2 linked regions of the Caenorhabditis elegans genome follow. The protein of the gene in region 1 purifies or fractionates together with the protein of each later gene. This does not show direct contact. Each region holds a gene or a part of one and is shown on either strand. Other genes may lie near its edges.

Region 1 (3,927 bases):
TTATAATGCCGTAAAGTGGTCGCCAGAATTATGGTCCACGTATGGCTGCAAAATAATGTAACAAATTGAAAATCTAGGCAGCCACTGGCTCACAATTTCGCGAGCGTAAAATTACTCACTTTTTTATTTTCAGGATCACGTGCTTATTGACAAAATCTTCAAAAATCGCACAATTGTCAGCAAGATTGTAAAAAATGTGTCTAATCAATTAGATACTCTGTTGGAGTTGAGAGTAAGATCACTTAAATTTGTTTTCTGGTAATACACCGAAACTAAAGCTGGCTAATTTCGATGAAAATTATGAGTTCATTAATAACTTTTTTTCTGCTTATCCATTTTTCTGAAAATGTGGGGATTTATGTTATCAACCATGAACTTTCATTGGTCAGTAGTAAAAAAAAACAGTATAAATTATGTTTTAAATCGTTTTTAAAACATTTGGAGGGGGAGCGACGAAACCCATAATATTATTTATACGTAAGTGCCAGTTAGTCTGATTGTTGTGAACTGGGCTCTGCTGTATCGCCCATTTCACAATGTCTCGCTCTCGACTGCTTCAGCAGTTCTCCGAGCGAGGGGTACATTCAATTCGACCTTTTAAGACCAGCTCTTAAGCTTACCATACAGTTAGGAGAAGTTTACTGTATTTCTGCGTCTCTTGCTCCCACACGCTCTCTAACGAGAGTTACACTCGCGCCCCGTAGCAACGATTGGCTGCGCGGCGACTCAATGAGCGACGATACGGAGCGAGCTGCAGCGTCGGTGGCACCAGGAAAGGAACTCTCCTCCCCACTCTTGGTTCGGTTTTGCTGGTCTCTTCCCCCCCCCCCCCCCCCCCCGTTATTGACAGCTCCCAGTCAGACTAATTGCCGACGTTTCCTACCTTTCCCTCCCTTTATTTGGAAAGTGTAGTTGACCAAAGACATTATTCTACGAGTCTGCAAAGACCCCGACTATTCATACACTCGACCTTTTCAGACTAAAGACCCGCGTGGCAGGACGTGATATTCTCACACCAGACAATTCCCTCTCTCTTGTGTACGACCCACTCCCCTCTGTTGATTATCTCCCCTTTGGAGTAATAAACATATTTATTAAAACTGTGTTCTGTTCTTTCCAATACATATACAAATAGACGATGCCATGCTGCACCTCTGACATAGTCTTCGTTGCTCGGTTCCTCTTGAGGCTTAAAGGGTTCGGTCTTCCGCCACTCCGTGGTGCCACAACATGGTGCATCGACCGACTTTCCGACTATTTCCTTGAGAAAACCATGTTTTCCATCGATACAAAGACTAACATTTGATTTCCAGGACATCCAGACGACGTTTACCTGAAAAGCGTGTTCAGTTCACGACTCAGACAAATCCTGTACAATTTCTCAGGAAACAGCTCGAAAGATGAACCTGGGACTCTAGACCGGGGGAACTGAGCGACCCTTTGACTATATTCGGTTATAGTACGATTTCTAGTTAATTGTGCAGTTTACAAAGTTAATATGCCTTTAATCAGATTCACCATACTTGATTTAGTCTATTTTCTCGTCGAAAATCGATTATTTCAACCAAAAACGCTCTTCCTTCTAAAAATTGGCACGGCGCCAAGAAAAAAGGGGGCGGAGTCTTCTACAAAAGTGCGCACGCGGCGCGACCGCGACGCGGCCACGACCTTTAAAAACAAGTTGCATTTACGTGTCTTTTTTTGTTTTTGTTGATCTTCTTCAATTTTAAACATTTTTTCTCACGAGCAACCGCTGTTTTCCAGACAAAGAAGTTCATTTTTCGCTTCTGAGACTGAATTTGATCATTTTTTCTCTCGAATTTTCGTGATTTAAAATTTTCTTCTTCTCAAAATACGAAAATCGTCGTAATTCTTGAATTATTTCGATTTTTTACAGCTCACACCACATCTGCAGCAGCCTACCGTACTCACACGCTTCACACCAACACACTTCACACCACCACGACAAGACACGGCACGGCGAACGGGACATGGCCTAGAAAGTTGCGAAAACTAGTCCCGCGGCTGCAGTGCTTTATTTTTTTTCATGAGGTTGCGGGAGTTTTTCGACGTTTTTTTCGTGTTTTTTGATGTTTTCTCGTCGTTTTTTCTTGTTTTCTTCGTTAAAAATTGAAATAAAAATAATATTTTCAGCGAAAGACCACAAATCGCCGCAAAAATCGACCGCATCATCCGCGAAAAGGCGAAAAACGTCAAAAAGTGAGTTGTTTTTTTTGACATATCTCAAAAACTGTTGGTCCAGATTTTTTTTAAAGAGCCTATGGTATGAAAAAATACATACATGGCGGTTCTGAATTTTAATGATTTAGGTGTATAGCATGGGCCCAACTTGATTATTTTTTTGAATTTAGTGAAAAATCAGCACATTTTTGTATAAAAAATTACTTTCCTCAAGAACTGTTGGTCCAGATTTTTTTTAAACGTCTTAGAATATAGAAAAAATCATGCTGGTTTTTAATTTGAAAGATTCAGGCTTTTAGCATGGGCCCAAGTTTACTGTTTTTGGCATTTCGTGAAAAATCGATAATTCGAACGAAAAATTATTTTTCTCAACAAAAATTGGTCTCAGAATTTTTGAAACCTTTTTTAATTATACACTGAAATATGCTGATTTCAAATTGATAAGTTTTGAATGTTCAGCCGACGGATTTTGCAATTATTTTTTTCGATTTAGTGAATATTCACATTTCTGAACAAAAATTGAATTTTTTCGAAAACTGTTGGTCCAGATTTTTTAAAAAGATCCTAAAATATGAATAAAAGCATGCTGATTCTAAATTCAAAACATTCAGCTCAATATCATGCGCCTAAATTATTGATTTTTTCAAATTTCGTGAAAATCAGTGGAAAATCAGTACATTTCTGAACGAAAAGTATTTTTTTTTCAAAAACTGTTGGTCCAGATTTTTTAAAAAGATCCTAAAATATGAATAAAAGCATGCTGATTCTAAATTCGAAACATTCAGCTCAATATCATGCGCCCAAATTATTGATTTTTTCAAATTTCGTGAAAATCGATATTTAAAAATTGTTTCCCTTATAATATTCATGCAATATTTCCAGATGACAAAAGTATACTTCAAACAAAAAAGAAAAGAAAAATCTTGTGCAGGCCTTCTTTTAGCAAATGCCCAGAGAGCAAGGAACAGTGCTAATGGAGTTTCAAAAGATCAAACTGAAGAGGAAGAACTGAACAATTCGAAAGTGGAGGTTCGTTCAGCTCAATTTTGTCAACTTTAATTAAGTTGGAGTAGTTTGTTCTAACTTCAAAAACGTGATTTTCAGACGTGCAGCTCGTCGCCACAGGCTAATCAGGAAATCAGTTCAGAAGATCGAAACTCCCACCATCCCGACATTGCTTCCAGTAGCTCCGCAACTACATGCAGGTCGTCAAATTGTTTCAATATGGATGAAGGAATTCTGACGAGAGACGTGGAAATGGATTTTAGTGACGAAATTCCGACTTTTTCTCACAATGTAATTTTTTTCAATATTTCAAAACTAATATTATATGATTTTGCTGAGATTCTCCAATCCCGTATTTCCACCGACACCTTTACGAAACTCGTTCAGTACACCGAGGGTTCGAATAATCTCCAATGTTGAGCAAATTCCGCAGATCAAAATGCTCCGACTAACGATCGAACGACTGAAAAATGAAAAAAATGAAATATCAGAAGAAATACAAAAGCGGATTGATGAGTTTGCGGTGTTTTCGGAAGAAATGCAAATAGTCCGCCATGAAAATATCACTATAAGAGCATCTAATTCTTCGCTGCAAATGGAAGTATGCAATATACGAACGATCGTCAGTGGTATAGAAGGTCGATTGGTGAGAAGCTGTGCAGATGTGAAGAAAAGTGGCAAAGCTATGGTTCTGAGTCTACAAAGACACGCCGAAGAAGT
Region 2 (3,927 bases), on another chromosome or scaffold:
GAACCTCAAAATTCAAAAAACGCACTCACTTCGGATGCTGATATCTCCGTGTAATAATTTTTTATGACAAAGTGATCAACTACAAAGTTGTTTATCTTAATATAAAGTACAATTTTGTAGTTAATCGTTTTTTATCAAAAAATTTGTTGGTTGAGATATGAACAGAAAAAGAAGAAGAAAATACAAGCATGAAGGTGCCGAACTTTACACAACTTTATCTCGACCAACAAATTTTTTGATAAAAAACAATCAACTACAAAGTTGTACTTTAGATTAAGATAAACAACTTTGTAGTTGATCACTTTGTCATAAAAAATTTTTCCACGGAGATATCAGCATCCGAAGTGAGTGCGTTTTTTGAGCTTAGGTGTTCTACTAAACCTCAGGTTTTCGTCTGCAATCGTGTGCAGAACATCCAAACTAGAAAAACTACAAACATTGCATTTTTCTGATCAAATTTTGAAAAGTTTTCAAAAAAAATTTTGGAAAATTTTATTAGATAGAGGTAGTCAATGAGCAAAGGTAGTCAATGAGAAGGTAGTCAATGAGTGTTTGCCGGCATAATGTTGTTGAAAATTTAATTCTTAAATTGAAAATTTTCGTACTGTAGTAAAAGAGCTATGTTGGTAAACCGTAGTAAAAGAGATTCCGTAGTAAAAGATCCAATTGTAGTAAAAGATCTAGATGTGGAATTCGTAGTAAAAGAGATTCCGTAGTAAAAGATCCAATTGTAGTAAAAGATCTAGATGTGGAATTCGTAGTAAAAGAGATTCCGTAGTAAAAGAGATCCTGTAGTAAAAGAGATGCGTAGTAAAAGATCAAGTAGTAAAACAGTATTTGCCACAATTTTGGAGCAGCTCAAATGAAATTAAAGACATAATGAATTTATTGAAAACTTTGATGGAGCAACTTTGGGCCAGTAGAAACTATGAATCGAGCACCATTGAAACGTGGACTGAACAATTTTGGAACACTTGCGAATCAATTAAAAAATATGTTTCCTGAACAACTCAACTTATTTCCAAACTCTGTCACTTTTCTTTTTAGTTCATATTGTTGTTTTTATATACATTCCTTTGCCAGCTTTTCAACTTGAATTTTTTCAATTTTCTCTGATCTTTTTTGAGCTACAATTCTGATTTCCATAACAACAAAACTGTTCAGTTCAGAAGATATAGTTCTCAAAAAAAGGCACTTGTGCATCATTTTAAAAGGACCTTTTTAAGAAGTAAAAATGAAAACGTGCGGCATGCACTTGTATTTTTAGGATTAGGAAATTACAATTTCTAACTAAGCCTTAACATTAAAAATGCCCATCAAGTTTAAACAGAAATTTGATTTAATTTTAAAATGAGAGGATATTACACAACTACTACAAAAAATCTACAGGTTTCGATTGAAAATATAAAACTACTCGGTAAGTTCGGAAAGCTCCCATTGAAGCAATAACTCCTCTAAACTTCCAGCTTCATAATGGTGGAAGATCGGTACCGAAATATGGAAAATTAAACGACTCCGAATTTATCCCTGAATTCGAATATCGATGTGAAAACATTTTTTTAAAAATCCCTGATTTTAAACTTCAATTGCGAATTTTTTTGTGCACCCAAAGATTTTTCAAATGCGCGCCAGAGACGTCTCATTGGAGCGAACTGTGTTCGTGTCGATTTACGAGATTAGCCAATCTATTTAAACTTTCTTTCGTGCCGATTTATGTTTTATCAACTAATTTTCTTCATTTTTGTCGGTTTTTATCGGGTTTTTTTTGAAAAATATTTTTTTCGTGCCCAACTAACATAAAACTTTCGAAAATTCGTTTTTTTATGTCAGAACAATGAAACATGTTTGTTTACTTTCCATTTAATTTTGCTATTTTCTGGTAATAATTCCTCTGATATTCAAATTGGGAAGTATAGAAATAAAGTTGTCAATGTACAAACCAAAAAACATTCAAATTAAAAAAAACCGTATTCCTGTTTTTAAAAACTAAAAATGTGAAATTAATTCTTCAAAACTGTTCTAACATTTTACTTTTAGCAAAATCGTAATATTCCACTGTTTTCCTCTCTGAAAAATTTACATATAAACCAAGTTTTTTCAGCACAACAGTGACTCTATCGTTGAAATGCCAATACCAAAATCTGCAAAATCCGATTACACAAAAGAGCAAAAAGACTTGGTTGGAAATATTTGCCAGTGCAAGGATTTCTACAAAATCCTCAACGTTGATAAGAAAGCCAGTCCAGACGAGATTCGTATTGCATTTAGAAAACGAATTCGAGAAGTTCATCCGGACAAATGCAAGCATCCAAGTGCTACTGAAGCATCGAAAGGTGAGCTCAAAAATATCTGAAATTGAACAACTTTCTTGTAATGACTGAAAATATAAATGAAAAAAAAAAACTTCCATCAATTTCTTAATTAAGTGTTTAAAAATCTTAATCCGAATTCAAAATTTCAGTTGTCAATAATGCATTTTCACTTCTTATGGATCCGGCCAAGCGAAGACAGTATGATCTACAAAACGCTGAAACATCAAATGAGAATCTTTATAAGCGTTGTAATCGTAATAAAAATCAACGAAAACAGGAATATTCAAATACTCAAAGACAAAACCACAAGAAATCTGAGCCAAGTAATGGAAAAAGAAATGAGCAAAATTCATCATTCAAACAGGACCACAACAGTAAGAACCATCAATCCAATCACCAAAAGACTAAAAATAAGAAATCAAATCCATATTCAAATCAGAATAATTTTAATAATACAAGAAAGGATTATCGTGAAGAGAAAAGTGGATTTAGTTGGAATACAGGAAGTGCTGATGATTACGAGGATTTTGTTTATAGAAATTATCAGTCTTATCAGCAACAACAACAAAATCAGTACGCAAGGCGACGACATGAAGAATATACAGGTATGATGATTTTTATATTTTTAGTAGTATTTTTCGTTCAAGTCGAAATGTGGAATGTGAATTTATTCATTATTTTGCTGAATCCTTTTTTTCCCGATCTTCATGAACAAATGTATTTTCAGATGGATTCAAATATTCGTCAAGTTCAAATCCACACTCTACCAGCAATGAGCCTTTTCACGATAAATCTCATAATTCCGATGTTGAGAAAGAGGAGTATCTTGTTGTTATCTTTTTCATTGTAGTGACGATTGTTCTATTTGGATTAATTGTACATGGAATGTGAGTTTTTCAATATTCCTTATCCAAAAAAAAATGAAAATTTTCTTTTTCAGGTACACCGGAAGCCTTTTGCGAACTGTTTTCAACCTTGTCATAACATATTTGAGAATCATAGCTGGAATTTTTGGAGTATTTTGTTGGATCTCATGGAAAATATTCCAATTGATCGTGAACCTTTCCTGGAAAAGTGTTACAAGGATAGCAATTCCTGTTGTTTTAAAAACGATTTCAATTACTGCTGAAGTAGTTTCGAGCTGTTTTGGTTTCTTGTGGAGCTTTTCGAAAGGAGTGCCATGTTGGATTTGGAGCTTTTTGACAACGTTTTAATCATCAGCAGCTCAATATTAGAGTCGGGTTTTATCAAATCACTCAAAAATGTTTTTTTTTCTGAATTAATTTTGTATTTGTTTTTGTTGGATTTCCAGTTTACAAGAATTGTTATCGCTTGTATTTAATATTATAATAAAAATTTTAGAAATTTTTGAAGTCTTTTTAACGTATCAAAATACAAAATATAATGTTTTTAAAGTAAATAAAAACTTAGAAGAAAGTTGCTGATTAAGGGAGAACGGGTTATAAATAAATCTCCCAATAAAAAATACGGTCATATAAATGCCTGAATTTCAGTTTTTTTGATTGAACTCGAAGCTTCTGGCACCTAGAACAATTTTGTAATTAAATTCTGAAAGCTCTCAAAATTCCAAACAAATCCCCGAAGAAACATTTTT

What was found.
Region 2: the proteins of Y48G1BM.6 (region 1) and dnj-26 fractionate together in Caenorhabditis elegans (co-fractionation; one large-scale study listed by BioGRID). This does not show direct contact.

The regions. Positions count from the first base shown.
Region 1 is NC_003279.8:235,824-239,750, reverse strand, and holds the start of Y48G1BM.6 (uncharacterized protein), read left to right. Parts: upstream 1-2,152; 5' UTR 2,153-2,220; intron 2,221-3,084; coding exon 3,085-3,231; intron 3,232-3,306; coding exon 3,307-3,498; exon of another isoform or gene 3,499-3,927.
Region 2 is NC_003282.8:12,250,847-12,254,773, reverse strand, and holds dnj-26 (J domain-containing protein), read left to right. Parts: upstream 1-2,094; 5' UTR 2,095-2,125; coding exon 2,126-2,333; intron 2,334-2,461; coding exon 2,462-2,917; intron 2,918-3,039; coding exon 3,040-3,199; intron 3,200-3,252; coding exon 3,253-3,526; 3' UTR 3,527-3,681; downstream 3,682-3,927.